Linked DNA regions of Nothobranchius furzeri. The protein of the gene in region 3 interacts with the protein of the main gene of each other region in a pairwise test. Links are inferred from orthologs where the notes say so. Each region holds a gene or a part of one and is shown on either strand. Other genes may lie near its edges. The genes, in order: txlna, receptor-type tyrosine-protein phosphatase F, ppfia1 and ptprsa.

Evidence for each region.
Region 1: the proteins of ppfia1 (region 3) and txlna interact in binary tests that used the Homo sapiens proteins (3 or more experiments, as listed by UniProt). The link is inferred for Nothobranchius furzeri from reciprocal best matches to the Homo sapiens genes PPFIA1 and TXLNA.
Region 2: the proteins of ppfia1 (region 3) and receptor-type tyrosine-protein phosphatase F interact in a two-hybrid assay, tested with the Homo sapiens proteins (2 studies listed by BioGRID). The link is inferred for Nothobranchius furzeri from reciprocal best matches to the Homo sapiens genes PPFIA1 and PTPRF.
Region 4: the proteins of ppfia1 (region 3) and ptprsa interact in a two-hybrid assay, tested with the Homo sapiens proteins (2 studies listed by BioGRID). The link is inferred for Nothobranchius furzeri from reciprocal best matches to the Homo sapiens genes PPFIA1 and PTPRS.

What each region holds. Positions count from the first base shown.
Region 1 is NC_091751.1:3,230,667-3,234,985, reverse strand, and holds the start of txlna (alpha-taxilin), read right to left. Parts: upstream 2,836-4,319; 5' UTR 2,823-2,835; coding exon 2,723-2,822; intron 2,323-2,722; coding exon 2,143-2,322; intron 1-2,142. UniProt on the Homo sapiens protein: May be involved in intracellular vesicle traffic and potentially in calcium-dependent exocytosis in neuroendocrine cells.
Region 2 is NC_091751.1:44,754,003-44,758,008, reverse strand, and holds the start of receptor-type tyrosine-protein phosphatase F, read right to left. Parts: upstream 2,838-4,006; 5' UTR 2,615-2,837; intron 1-2,614. UniProt on the Homo sapiens protein: Possible cell adhesion receptor. It possesses an intrinsic protein tyrosine phosphatase activity (PTPase) and dephosphorylates EPHA2 regulating its activity.
Region 3 is NC_091749.1:65,271,928-65,275,493, reverse strand, and holds part of ppfia1 (liprin-alpha-1), read left to right. Parts: intron 1-1,143; coding exon 1,144-1,245; intron 1,246-1,597; coding exon 1,598-1,762; intron 1,763-1,845; coding exon 1,846-1,920; intron 1,921-3,075; coding exon 3,076-3,177; intron 3,178-3,566. UniProt on the Homo sapiens protein: May regulate the disassembly of focal adhesions. May localize receptor-like tyrosine phosphatases type 2A at specific sites on the plasma membrane, possibly regulating their interaction with the extracellular environment and their association with substrates.
Region 4 is NC_091748.1:63,780,083-63,783,648, forward strand, and holds part of ptprsa (receptor-type tyrosine-protein phosphatase S), read right to left. Parts: intron 2,218-3,566; coding exon 1,624-2,217; intron 611-1,623; coding exon 516-610; intron 307-515; coding exon 56-306; intron 1-55. UniProt on the Homo sapiens protein: Cell surface receptor that binds to glycosaminoglycans, including chondroitin sulfate proteoglycans and heparan sulfate proteoglycan.

The DNA.
Region 1 (4,319 bases), on a different chromosome or scaffold from region 3:
CCCATTCCAGTCAGGTTTTAGACGTAATTACAGCACAGAGTCTGCACACATTCAGGTACTCAATGACATCCTGATTCTGACTGACTCTGGCTCCCATGTGCGGTTACTCTTACTCGACCTGACCGCAGCATCCTACTTCACAGACTCCAATTTTGGGTGGGTGTGACCGGTACTGCCCTGGAATGGTTTAAGTCGTACCTTAATGGTCGGTGTTTTAGTGTTCATGTTAGAGACTGCTCTTCTCCCAATGTCCCACTTCCATGGGGAGTACCACAGGGCTCCATCCTGGGTCCTCTCCTCTTTTCAATTTACATACTAGCACTTGGTAAGATTTTAGCAAGTCTCGTCGGGGTTAACTACCACTTTTATGCAGATGATTGCCAGATCTACCTTCAAATCAACCAACAGCACTCATTTTCTATAATGTCAGAATGCCTCTCCCAGGTCAGATCCTGGCTTTCTCAAAACTGCCTACGGTTAAATGACAGCAAATCAGATGCCATACTTTTTAGCCCCACTAACATGAATGGTGCTTTAGATGTCTCAACTCTCCCACTCAATCTCAAATCAGGTGCCACTAGCCTAGGTGTGACACTGGACTCTGACCTTTCAATGTCTTCACAAGTCAACGCTACTGTCAAGTCCTGCTTTTTCCAACTCCGCCGCATCACTCGTCTTAAGTCAATCCTCAAACGCCCGCATCTTGAGTCAGTCATTCATGCTTTCATTACTTCACGTCTGGATTACGCAAATTCTGTCCTGATTGGGATTAATGCTTCAGCCTTAAGCAAACTGCAGAAGGTTCAAAATGCCGCGGCCAGATTTTTAACCAACACCGACAGACGCATGCACATCACACCCATCCTCGCAGATTTACACTGGCTCCCAGTCTAATTTAGGATTAACTTCAAGGTCCTGTTATATGTTTACAAGGCTTTGTACTGCCCATCCCCATCCTATCTGATGGACCTGCTGACCCCATATGTTCCCACCCGTGCCCTTCGGTCAGCAGATCATCTGCTGCTTGTTGTTCCGAAGGTTTGGTACAAATCACGGGGGGAGCGTGCCTTCTCTTATTCAGCCCAAAACTCTGGAACTCCCTGCCCCTCCGTGTGCGTCTGGCTCCCTCTGTTAGCAGTTTCAAGTCGGCCCTGAAAACGCACTTCTTTAGCATTGCCTTGCCTCCGTGACACTTTTCATGACAATCTAGCACCGGATTTGAGTTTTTAATTCCATTTTTATGATTTAGTTGCTCACTTTTGGCACCTCGCACCATCTGGTATTTTATTTCGGTTTATTTGGGACATTTCAAATGTTTTTATTATTCGTCGCATTATTTTATTTTTATAGTGCTGTTAACTGTTCTATTTTATGGTTTTTAGTAGGAATTTTTATCTCCGACTATTTATGCTTTGTTCTTATGTTTTTTGCCTGTTCTTATTGTGGTTCTTGGTCAAGCATTTGGCTTTTTTTATGTACAGCACTTTGGTTAGCTGCCATGCTATTTTGAAATGGTGCTTTATAAATAAATAAATATGGTATGGTATGGTATGTGTCCCACACAGTCACGCGGAAAACTGTTGGGATTCATTTGTTTATGATGTGCCTTCTAAAAGGAATCGCACTTGAGGCATTAAAACAATTATCACAATATCATCAAGGACGTGATGGCCTACTTTTATTTAAATGTTGAAGTAAGTTTGTTCTTGACACAACGTTACAGTAATGAGAAAATACCCCAAAACTAATTTATTATGGATCTCTTAACCTTAAAAACTCTTGTTTATTAAACTGTGTGATTGTGTTTAATGACATCAGTGCATAAAATAACTTGTCGGCAGCATCAGGACATATAACAATAAAAATGACATAATCTAGATATGTATGGATTGAGTACACGTGAAGAATGAAGACCATTTTATTGTACAAGTAAAGCTTTGATTGCATCAATAAAAGTTTGACTTCTAGTATGTTAATCTTGAAACCAGATGACATCAGGTATTACTGACAAGATTCTCCACTTCAGTCTGATGACAACCAAACCATTAATTAGGTTTGTGCTGTTTCATCTAATTTGTTCTAAAACTGAGAATTCACACAGTGTGACGGACGAGTAAGAAAGTCAAACCAAAGGCAGTTCACCTCCGCTTTCCCCCTGCTGTTCCTGTGGTGGAGGGCCAGCCTGTGGCTCCATCTCTCTGGGGCTGCTGCCTTCAGCAGGTGCAGGTGGAAGTGGAGCGTCCGTGTCTCCAGCTGCAGGTGGAGGAGCCTCGCTGCCCGGGCTGGTAGACTCTTCCGTGTCTTGATTTTTCATGTTTAGCTCTTTGAATAAAAGACGAAACTAACGCTGAGTCTAAATAAGGCTTTGACAATAAAATACACCAACTGTTCAGACGATAAAGTTCTTTAAAATCACGCATAAAATCGAAAATATTAGCACGTTTCTGGATACATAGACATGGCGTTTATGTACAAAACGGAAAACAAATGTGTACTTTCACTTCGGACCATTTTCAGTTTCCATTAGCTTCCAGATTACATTAGCTGGCACAGGCTAGCCCTCGTTAGCAGTTACGCACGCAGCTAAAATTGTCTTGAACTACTTTCACCCAACCGGTGTTACTTTGTACCATAAAAGAAAAAACAGAAAACTACTAAAGCTATGGCGACGCGAAACGTTACCTCATTCCCCTGACTCTACGGTTAACACAGACTTGTTTACCTGAAGACTCCAGGAGGAAACGGCTAATTTTTCTGAGCTGCAGGTTTCTTGAACAGCGTGTAGCTGACTGGCTTAGAAAAAAAAAACAACTTCCGGTCATAACTTTGATTCTTCTTCTTTGACTTTTCAATGGTGGTTTCAAATGGTGATATGGTGCATTACCGCCACCAACTTCTTTCTGCTATGTAAAAAAAAATACTAGCAAGAAAGTGATAAAACTGGTAAAAACCAATTAAACATTTATTGTCATTGCAGAACAGCTGTCTTGTAAATTAGTAAGACTATGGTTTACATGTGGCCTATGCTAATATAAAATTTAAGGTTTAATAATAGTAAACAGCAAGTTCACCTACTAACAAAAATGCATTTTATTTAGAAAAAATTACAGCAAGTGTTTGTACTAACTACTGAAATTTTATAAATGTAGTTCCCTCTTCCTCCCTGGGCTGCCACCTTACCGTGGTGGAGGGGTTTGAGTGTCCCAATGATCCTAGGAGCTAAATGAGGCTTTATGCCTCTGGTAGGGTTACCCATGGCAAACAGGTCCTAGGTGAGGGATCGGACAAAGAGCAGCCCAAAGACCTCTTATGATGAATAAAATAAATGGAAACCGTGTTCCCTCGCCCGGACGTGGGTCACTGGGGCCCCCCTCTGGAGCCAAGCCTAGAGGTGGGCCACGTAGGCGAGCGCCTGCTGGCCGGGTTTTCACCCATGGAGCCCGGCCGGGCACAGCCCGATGAGGAAACGTGGGTTCCCCTTCCCATGGGCTCACCACTCGTGGGAGGGGCCAAAGGGGTCAGGTGCAGTGTGTGACGGGTGGCAGACGAGGGCTGGGACCTTGGCGGTCTGATCCCCGGCTACAGAAGCTGGCTCTTGGCACAAGGAATGTCACCTCTGGTGGGGAAGGAGCCTGAGTTGGTGTGTGAGGTTGAGAGATTCCGACTAGCTATAGTCTGACTCACCTCAACGTATGGCTCTGGCTCTGGAACCAGTTTCCTTGAGAGGGGCTGGGCACTCTACCACTCTGGAGTTGCTCCCACTGAGAGGCGCCGAGCAGGGGTGGGCATACTAGTTGCCCCCATCTTGGTGCCTGTACGTTGGGGTTTACCCCGGTGACTGAGAGGGTAGCCTCCCTCCGCCTACGTGTGGGGGGACGGGTTCTGACTGTGGTCTGTGCTTATGCACCAAACTACAGTTTAGACTACCCACCCTTTTTGGAGACCTTGGAGGGGGTGCTGGAGAGTGCTCCTTCCGGTGACTCCCTCGTTCTGCTGGGGGACTTTAACGCTCATGTGGGCAACGACAGTGAGACCTGGAGAGGTGTGGTTGGGAGGAACAGCCCCCCTGATCTGAATTCGAGTGGTGTTTTGTTATTAGACTTCTGTGGATTGTCCATAATGAACACCATGTTCAGACATAAAGGTGTCCATATGTGCTCTTGGCACAGGATACCTTAGGCCGCAGCTCGATGATCGACTTTGTTGTTGTTTCATCTGACTCGGGTGAAGAGAGGGGCCGAGCTGTCTACTGACCACTACCTGGTGGTGAGTTGGCTCAGATGGTGGGGGAGGATGCCGGTAAGACTAGGCAGGCCAAA
Region 2 (4,006 bases), on a different chromosome or scaffold from region 3:
TGGCTACATCAACAGCCTGCTGGGGGCTGCACAAAATCCCTTTAAGGGCCACAATTTGGGCATACCTGGACTAATGTGCATCTGAGCTTTAATATTCCTTGATTCACCAAAATACAGAAGCAGCAGAGGAAAGAGGTTCTCCTAGAGCAGGGGTGAGGAACCCTGGTCCCCAAGGGCTGCTATCCTGCATGTTTTAGGTGTTTCCCTCCTGTTATGTGCTCTCCATGAACTTTTTGGGGTGCTGGGCTTCCACATTTTAGGGTTCTACAATGCTTTAAAATGTAGAAAATTCCCCCCTACCCCTATACACTAAATGTTGGATCTCCTTGTAAAATATACACCCAGCGGGGCTCTGAGATCCTTAGGAAACAGTCAGCTGGTAGAACCCCGGGTCAGAACCTAACAGCTGCTTTTATTCATGTATTCATCAGCCTTTGAATGAATGTTTCTTATGCTGCATCTTCTGCATTTTAACTTTGCCTTCGACTTAAATCTGAATTTCATTTGTGAATTTCCTTCTTTCATTCTTTGAAATATCTAAACTTTTTTGAAACTGTACTAAAATGGCTACCTTTAAGGTTGTAAAATGGTCAAAAATGCATATCATCTTTGTCATATTTCTCAATCAGTTACAATCGGAATAGAAGTTTAGTCCACAACCCTAAAGCGCTTTATCAGCTAAGGGGCCAACGCTGTAACTGAGCTGATATTTCCCAAATGTTTCTCACTAGCATTTTTCCAGCATGCACACCACAGTGCGCCTTGCTAATGATGTCACCAGCTAAGGGCCTTGGCTCTTTTTCCATGCATGGGCAGTGCTCCAAAAGCCCCAACAGAAACACCTTTATGGCGGAGGAACAAAAGAAGAAAAAATGTAGCAACGGACTGTGGGGCACTCTGTGATCCCTCATGAGTAACGGTCATGTTAGTCACGTGTTTTCCCTTGAATAACCTTTGGGTTTTGATTAAAGTAAATCTAAAACCTTGGGGAAGTTGTTACCATTCAGGAAACATGTCTAAATAATGGTGTTTTTAGAATATCGTTCACAACCTTCAAATAAGAATTAAGGTTATGTAAAAATATCCAACTGCTCCGCTGCGGCCGATCTAGTCAATGCTAATGCTTCAGCAGCATGACACCCATCAGAGCTGTCAACACAGGTTTAAATGATCAAATATATCCATCCATTAGATAACAGAATAACATTTAGCAATTTAGCTGTTTCATGTTCTGCTGCACAAATGAGTCCAACTCCATGAATCAACACGTGATGGATCCAACTAAAACTAAATCTACACGTAAATGCAGTCAAGAGGTTAGAATCTGCAGGCCAGTTTAATAGAAAATTACCCCAAATATAGAGCAAACATGCATCTTGTTACTGTCTATTCAGCTGCCAGGGTCTGAAGGTTATAGAGACCAAACATGCAGCATAGGCCTTGGGTTCTGTTTCAGAAAGCCTCTGATGCAATTCCAAGAAACTAACCCACCCTGCATCATCTTTAGTCTCTTCATTGTGTCTGTGGCAGCTTTAATTAAAAATGTGTGTATTGATAAACTGTGGCAATGGAGCTGCAGAAGTGTGTTGGAGCTGCAGAAGTGTGTTACCCTGGAAAACGGTTTCTAGTTTCCGGTTCCAAAAGAAATGAGGGCATAATGGTTGATGCGATGAGACCTCCTGTATAATTATAAGAAATACCACCTGGAAATGATGTCACTCAATATCTAAGATTAACTCATTTACATGTACACACACACACACACACACACACACACACACACATAAACACACATGTATATTTACATTTTTTAAACACAAATTTGCTGTGAGGTGCAGATTCTGCAAATGAAGCCTGCTGGGAGCCAGTGCTGCAACAGGGAACGGTTTAAAAGCATGACAGGTGCTTTTGCACTTGATGGAAACGCAAAAACTCAAATCTGTGCCTGAGGGCGCGTGCTTGCAGGGGTGCACGCGCGTGATGTGCACGCGCAAAATCTGCTGTCAAGTCATTATTATTATGATACATAATATACATATAGGAGCAGCAAATCACGCTGCAACAGGATATTAAAGAACAAAGTAAGGTCAGACCCCCCACAGAGGAGCCTGTGCACATTTATTTTTATTTCATTTAGCTTTTTTTGACAGATTTGTTGCTTGGTTGAAAATTGCATCCCTGCAAAGACTGCTGCGACGTCAAGCTGCCCACAGAGAGGTGCACGCGGGCAAGGGAACTCAGGTTCGAAGTGAATGACATTAATATTCTGCCTCGTTTTTAAATCACATGCACGCTCATTATGGAAAAATAATAAAAGCACTGCTCAATTCAAACGCTCAGTCAGTTGGAGCTGATATAAAAGTTGCTGCTGGCTGCAAGCCGGAATGAATAAAACAGCAAATATACACATTTAAATGAGGCTGTCTGACGTTCGCTCGGTATTTTGCCAAGACGGGAGCTCATTTGCGTTAATTAACCACTCCCGTTACACCTTTTCTATTCTAAAGCACGGACATGCTCGGGGAATTGCGTACAATTCTGATTGTTTTATATAGTCCGGTAACTTAACGGAACGGAATATCAAGTTCACATGCAGAGAAGATTACACACTTACTGAATCTCCTCTTTGTCACCGCCGTTGGCATTTCTCTCCTTCTCCAAACCACAAAATATTTAGTTCCGTTCTTCACTTTGAAGCAATCCCACTTCATGCAATTAACCAAAACGGAGGAGTTGGAACCAAACCCAGAAAAAAATGAATAAAGACAGAGGGGGAACGATAGGAGTCCACCTCCGGGGGAAGTAACACGAGGTCCCACCAGGGTCGTGGATACTGGATCTATTCGTGGCAGCTCCTCCGCGCCGCAAACGGGTTAACGTAAACCTCGCTCAAATGTTCAATGTCGGTGCCAACAAATCACGGGGAGAGGAGAAGTGGCGTTTATGTTCTTGAATGTGAAATACTCCTCTTTCGAAGTTAACTGGCGTGCAGAAGTCGGTCCACAGTCGCCCCGCACGCAGAAGGAGTTGTTCCGTCTCTCTCCTAGCAGTTACCGCGTCTCTCTGCCTCCGTGGTGGAAACGCTCACAGGTCGGTCAGCGGGATTTTCCGGATCCACTCGGCTACACTCGCCGCTGCCGTGTCTGTCCTCGAGTCCTCCTTAAAAACGCGCACCAAACTTAAACGACTACAAAACAGACACTTTAATTCTCCATTTGCTCAAAGCAGCATCTTAAATGAGACATAAGGTGAATTTGTGAGAAGATTATGACTCAGGACAGGGACGGATTAGCAAAACAATGGACCCATGGGCACAGACGTGGAAAAGCCCCCCGATCCCCTCTCTAATCCCACTAAAGTCCAAAAGACCCCAACAAATAAAGACATGTTATAAATGCAAACAAAGCAGATTCATTCTGGGCATTTGTTTATTTTTTAAAGCACATTATTGATTTTCTTCTATTCTGTTTATGTTTTGCTTGATTGAAATCCATTAGGTTTAGTTTATTTACATAATGCTAATTTGTATAAGAAAATAATCTTGTGAACTATGCAGTTTAAACCTCTTTTTGATGTCTGCTTGCTAATTTGGACTGTTTTGTGTTTATTTGTGAACCATTTAATATTCATTATGGTTTACCTGCATATTGTTTGGATTAAAATATTTTATTTCAAGTTTATTCAATTTTCATTTTCAACACAAATTAATTTGTGTAATGTTATATATGTAATAATTGTACATTGTAACATTTAGAAAGCAAAATGTATGAGTAAAATTACGACACCTGCATTGTTGACAATGAAAGTATTTGCTGCCTTAAAAGTTACTTCTGTCATTATTTTTTGTGACACTTAAATAATGATAATCAGATCACCAAATAAAGGTATTAGGCAAAAAAACAACTTGTTTTAAATTATTGTTTCACTTAGAGTAAAAGGCTATCCAAACCAATTTGGCTCCATATACATGAGCAATGAACCCCTAAACATAATAACTAGTTTATGT
Region 3 (3,566 bases):
GACTGAGCGGGGCTCGAACCTGCAACCTTCCGATTACGGGGCGAGCATTTAACTCCTGTGCCACCGTCGCCCACAACGTCGATGCTTTGTAGGCGGTTTCCATACTGCAGGCTGACAGAATAAAACCAACAGGGGATGGAAAATGTGATAATACTCTCTATAAAAGAATAATAGAAAGTCAGTAAAATGTCCTTCCTGACTCCAAATGAATTCAACTTCTTCAGGAGGTAAAGTCGTTGCTGGCACTTTCTGAGGATGTCCTCGGTGTTGGAAGCGAATTTCAGGAGTTGATCAAAGGTGGTCCCTAGATATTTATACTCTTCAACCAGCTCCACTGGCTGTCCATGAATGATAGTGGTGGCAGCGGTAACCTGCGCTCTCTGTTTGTTTGAGAAGGACACCACCATCTCCTTAGTTTTGGTCACATTCAGCTCCAGGCATGCAGTGTCACACCAATCCACAAACTCCTGCAGGACCTGCCCGTGATAAACAGTAGGGCCTGACAGAAGAGACAGGAGCACAGTGTCATCAGCGTATTTTACCATATAACTGTCAGGCTGGATGGATCTACAGTCATCTGTATAGAGAATGAAGAGTAGAGGAGACAACACACAGCCTTGTGGGGTGCCAGTGGAGGTGTAAAGAAGGTCTGAGAGAGGAACGGAGACATAGACATTCACTCATTCCAAGGCTGGAGTTGTCTTACCTCAAATGGAAATTTAAAAACTTTGACAAGCTTCAAATACTGTTTTGGCTCTTAGAGTTGCTAGCTTGAATTAGCGCTAAGCAAGTGTGTGTTCATGGACCAGAAAACTTGACTTGATTTTTTTTTTTTTTGGAACAGATTTTTGTGTTTCTGATTAGCCGATCACTGATATGTCTGCTAAACAGACATTTTTTTGTGCATTTTTAGTAAAATGTCAATGCATTTATTAGTACTCATATCTGTACTCAGTATCAGCAAGTACTCTACAGTAATTATTCATACTTGGGTAAATAATATTGCATCAGTGATCAGTTTATCTCTGCGATATTTAAACGAACCAGAAACTCCGACTTTGTGAGCAGAAGCCTCTGGTATTTTCCATATAGGGCCGTACTCATAGGAAGTAACGAGCACTTGTTGTTTATTTTGTGTTTTAGGAGTTTGCCGCCCTAACAAAGGAGGTGAACATGTGCCGGGAGCAGCTTCTGGAGAAAGAGGAGGAGATTGCGGAGCTGAAGGCAGAGAGGAACAACACCCGGGTGAGCTCAGTGAGGACGTACCTGGAAAATTCCTGCCTGCTTCCGTTTTGATTAGAGGTGGTGATCATAACACCGCCCAACACGTCGCATTCTGTGTTATAATCTCGATCGCTGTCAGAACCCGATGGTGTGGAAAGCTGCTGAGTCGGCGTAATACGGTCACTGCAGTCGGCAGATCTGACAGCAGACGCGTTCTCGCACACCCAGCTGCTGATGGAGGCTTGTGCTAGCCTCCAGAAGCAGCTGCTGGAGATGTTTTATCAATGATTCTAACTCGTGTGTGTGTGTGTGTGTGTGTGTGTGTGTGTGTGTGTGTGTGTGTGTGTGTGTGTGTGTGTGTGTGTGTGTACAGCTCTTGCTGGAACATCTGGAGTGCCTGGTGTCTCGCCACGAGCGTAGTCTGAGGATGACCGTGGTGAAGAGGCAGGCTCAGTCTCCAGCCGGCGTCTCCAGTGAAGTGGAAGTCCTCAAAGCTCTGAAGTCCCTTTTTGAACACCACAAAGCCCTCGACGAGAAGGTATTGTTTGTGACGAGTTTGTGCGGCACCAGAAAAGGTCTGTGTGATGTTCTGACGGGTGGTTTGTGTGTCGTCTACTGAAGGTGAGAGAGCGGCTTCGTGTTGCTTTGGAACGATGCAGCGCTCTGGAGGAACAGCTCACCATCTCACACAAGGAAGTAAGATGCAGGCAGTGATCGTCACCTTTAATCTGTTTTACTGTTTGTTTTATGAATGAAACTCTGGTCTGATTCTATCAAAACTTCATGATTTGCTTTGCTTTTTTACATTTAGTTTATGAAATGACAGCAAGTACTTTTTTCAACTAAACCGTTAAAGGCCTGACGGCGAGAAATGAACAGGAACAGTTAAAGAAAGCGTCTATTTATATGTTTCTATTTCTAAACCCAGTTAAAATGTATGTTTACAGTTTTTGACGTTAGATGCTGCCCCAGACACGTTGACTCAGAAATCCAAGTGTTTCAATCATTAGACATTTATTTACTTTGAAGCTATAAACTGTTTAGAAATGATGGAGTTTTAACAGCTTTTATTTCTTTATGATGACAAAAACAAAACTGAGAAACATTTTTACTAAATGACTCCTAGTTCACATCCGTGTAACATTCACATGTGTGCTCTGTTCGTCATAGCGGTCGTCAGAAGGCCCTGGTGAGTACACCCACCTCAGCAGGTAGCGCCACGTCTGAGGCGGACGTGATATGAAAGGGTGAGGCGGGAAGTTCAGAGCAGGTGTGACGCAGTGATTTAGATTCTGTGGGACTAGCTGACCAGGAGATTTAAAAATAAATAAATAAAGAAATAAAAAACAGCCAATAAGAGAAGAGAACTGCTGAATTAGACACAAATAAAGACACGAGGAGCACATATTTGTCAGATGGATCCAAACATGGAGTCAGACTGCCCAGAGGACGTCAGACGTTTGTCCTACATTCCCTCTGAGCTGCTCAGTCTGACTCTTCCTCTTGGAGTTTGTGTCTTGGATTCGGATAAGGACGTCGACGTGTTGGATAATAGCTCACGAAAGATCAGTCTTCCTGAACCTAAAACTGTTAAACGGCTCTTCAAAAAGCTTTCAGAACTTTTTCCAGACACGATTAGAAGAAATCCTCTTTAAAATATCTGCATGTTCCGACTCTGAGAAAGATTCAGGGCTCAAACCAAATGCTGATTTTTAGATCTCATAATCATGTTTGTTTTGGTAAATAACAAAACACTTTTCTCGTGTTTTCATAACCGGAAGTGAAACCTTGCTGTAAAGGGCTGTAGGCGAGGTGCACGTGTTGATGGCTCGGTGTGATGTTTGTGCGCAGCTGGCGTTCCTCAGGGAGCAGACCAGTCTGAAGCGAGGTCTGGCCGACGGAACCAGCGAGGTCAACCACAACTCTGAAAACACGCTCAGCACCAACGGCAAGGTGAGGAGGACTCGCTGTGTAGAGAACTTTATCAGCTCCTTTAATTAATCCCATACTGGGGGGGGGGGGGGGGGGGGGGGGGGGGGGGGTTATTGTTGTATGGAGCAGATGGGCGTGGAGATGTCTCAGACTTAAATCCCGAGTATTTATTATCACGCCCACTAGATGTTTTCTGTCTGCCACAAAACTCACAGCAGCATCAAAATGAGTTATGACAGACCATAATAGCGTAGCGGTGGGAGGGTTTTGTCCCCCCTCCCCTGTCGCTGTGTTGTTTACATTCAACTACAGACGTTCAGTATCGGCGATCTCAGGTCTCGCTGTGAAAACCCTGCATTTAGATCCCAGTGAAAAATGTGTTATCTTCCCCAAATTTAGTTATTTCCTTT
Region 4 (3,566 bases), on a different chromosome or scaffold from region 3:
TTGTCACTCAAACATTTACGCAGAGTTTGTAGAGAAGATATTACTTTATACTCACTTCACATCCTTGGTGCTGACTGGTGGAAAGGACATGGTAAGAATGTTTTCAGGCTCAGCGTAGATGTCCAGTTTTGGTTTCTTGACCAGGATATGTGGTGCAGTCCTGGCCACCACACGGTGTCGAGGGCCACCATCCATACTTTCTTGGCAAGTCACCCTAAACTCGTACGTGGTGTTGGGCCTAAGTCCTGTGATAAACATCTTCAACTGCCTGGCGTCCACATCCATCTTTTGACGATTGTACTCAATCTAAAGTAGTGGATGGTTGATCGGCAAATTGTTCAGAATTAAATCACTTTGACAAAACTGAATAACGCAGCTAAAATATGATATCAATGCAAGATGTATTATTTAACAAAATATGCTTTTACACTCCAGCTAAAATCAATTTAATCAATCATTTTCATTATATAGCTAGACTTTCAGAAAGCAATAAATTAAAGTAAGATTTCACTCACCGTGCATTTGTATGGAGATCTGCTTTCAGAAAATTTCCATGCAAGGACTACCGTGGTCTTGGTGACCCACTTAACAGTGAAATTCTTAGGAACATCTGTTAAAAGACAAATGCAAAACAAGGAAAAAATGTGCATCTTAAGTGAAAAAAAGCAGAAAAATAAGAGAAAATCACGAAAACTTTGGTTTTAAAAAAATCAAAGCTGTTCTTTCCCTGCAACGTTCCTCTGAGTTGAAGAGTGAAAGGAAAAGTGAACAGTGATTGGCTGTGAGAAGGGCAATGTCATTAGTTTAGACACAGAGAACACGAGACTCAAGGACAACAAACCCATGGAGCACAAGTTATATGCTCTTTGGCTAGCCATCATTAGTAGTGCAAACCCATCTCACCCACCGACTTTGAACCATGACTACCAGGTGATTAACAGTTAACCCTTGTAGACCCAATGCCAACTGTTGGGACAATGATACAGAGTTTGAGTTGGCACTGCCAATGTGCTGCCACACAAACATTGAGACAGACCCAAAACACTGCATGCCAACAGTTCTGAGCAGTGCATCTGTGGGATGCCATGCCACAAGCTGTCCTGATCAGGGACAGGGAAGAGGGAAAGGAGGCTTCGAGAGGAAGCGTGTTAGGAAGGAAAGGATATTTTAAACCCAAAATAAAATTAAAGTCAAAATAAAAAAAAAATCCTTATTCCTAAAATATTCCAAATGTACTGTTCTAAAGACTGGGATTGACTCCTACCTTGTGTGAAAACTGGGACGTGAAATGGCAAATCTGTGTAGATGTGCTTGAAAAAGGCTGCAAGGACTGACTGGAGGGTCTGACCAAAAAAGTCACTTACCTTTAATTCTATGCTGCTCTCCCCTCTCTCAAAATGACTGACTATAACTTACTGACTTTCATTTTACCTGGTTTGGGTTAGTGAAGCAAGTATTCCATGGCAAGCAATTTAAACATCAATCAATCCTCCATTTGAGGAGAAGTGGAGGTGGTTGAAGAAGTGGGTGAGGACAGTTTTCATTTTTGTGTCGTTGCAGACTGCTTTTAGTCAATTTCCAACCCCTTGGCACTGGGTTGGTAGAGAAACAAGTAAGCCCTACCTGCAGGATCAATGGCCACCGTCCGATACTGGATAGGTGGGCTGTAGGGCCCTGGACCTATACTGGTGTGGGCACGTATTTTCACATCATATGCAGAGTTCGGTTTGAGACTGTTGAGCACAAAGCTGGAAAGGTTGGGTGGTAATCGGAGTTCCAGTGGTGATCCTCCTGCTCCGGCTTCTTTGTAGGCCAAAGTGTACTCTGTGATGACCCCATTCCTCTCTGCCAGCACTGGTGGAGACCAGGAAAGCTGCACTGAGCAGCATGTTATGTTGGAGCCCTCGTTCATTTGAGGGTATCCCCCTGGACTATTCTCAGGAATAGTGAGCTCTGCCACAGCCTCCTCCCCAAAGCCCCCTCTGCTTTTGGCTGAGATCTTAAAGAGATAAGTGGCGCCGCGGTGAATGTTGCCCACAGAATACTGACGCTCTTGGGGAGCAAATTCCAGGGTGGCTAAAGGGGACACATCTTTTCGTCCAAACTGTAGCCTGTATCCCTGCAGGTCCATTCCATTGGTCAGATCTGGAGGATCCCAGTGAACAGTGGCAGATGATTTTGAGTTCTGAACCACTGACAAATAGGGTGGACCAGGTACTAGACAGAAAAAGAGAAGAAAACAAATGTTTACTCGAGTGTACTACATTGTACTATATTGTATGTTGAATGTGAGCTAAACATATCTCAATTACAATGTTTATATCATGGTTGGACATTTTCCAAAGTCAAAAAGAAAAGAAAAGCAGTAAAGTTAGCATGTTTAATCAGACATGTTTACTAGAGCTGCAACAACGAATCGATAAAATTTGATAAAGAAATGTGTTGGCTAAGCTTTGTCATCGATTTGTTGTGTTGCGCAAATTGTTTTGTGTTGTGCAACTTTTGTGTGTGTTGTGCAACATTTAACAGTCGATGCGAGCAGCTCATCTGATGCGGCAGCAGAGCAGACTGAGGCAGATCACAACGAAACACACATATGTCACACGTGTAATTATAGTGTAAGGAAGATGCCTTTTACTGGCACACACTGTGCTAATCTAGGTGCTGTGGAGGAAAACAGAGAAACCAGCAAAGACATGGAGGCAGAAACCATCCAAAGTTTGGGATCAAAGGTGTAACTACAAGCAGATTAGCTAATGCTAGCAGGTAGCAGGCTCGTGATCAAGTGAGTTCCGAAAAAACACGATAGTTGTGAAACTAAGAACATCTAAACTCTGCAAGCTGAAGAAAAGTCCCAATCATCATCCTGTTCATTAGCTGTCTGCAGCGCTACGGAGCAGAACCGCTGCAGTCAGGTTACTGCTGAAGGAAAATGGCAAGCCACTGTAGCATTTAATTCACAAACGCGTCTATCTGTGAACATAATTAAAACTGGATTATTGTTAACCCGTACATAATAGATAAGTCACCATTACATTTTAAATAGTAGAAATTAAATATTAGCATTTCCAGTAGCTTACTACTGAACATGTTAATGAAATACACTAATATTTAGTGATCATAGTTTATTTATGGATATATTAAGGTGATAGCATGTTGTTTAGCAAGCTATTGAACAGTTTTCTAATCATGTTGTGTTGTTAAAGTGAAGGAAGGAGAGAAAAAATGTTTCCCTAACAATTTTTAAACTTTCTCGTTTAATCCAATTAATCAAGTGGAGTCCCCATCCGATTCATCAATGATCCAAAAAATGGTTTGATGCAGCCCTAATGTTTACATTGTGGTCCGACATGCTTGATTGTAACCAATGAGAATTCAAGATTCTCAGTGACTGGCATAAATATTACAAGTTTACAGAAACTAAAGCCATAGAAGCAGTTTATATGAAAGCAGTTTGTATTTAACAGAGACACTGAAGAGCCCATCAATTGTAGAGTGATCACTGTGTCCATTACCATTTCATGTGACATGCAAACAGCTGCCAAAATTATTTCCATATTGCAGAG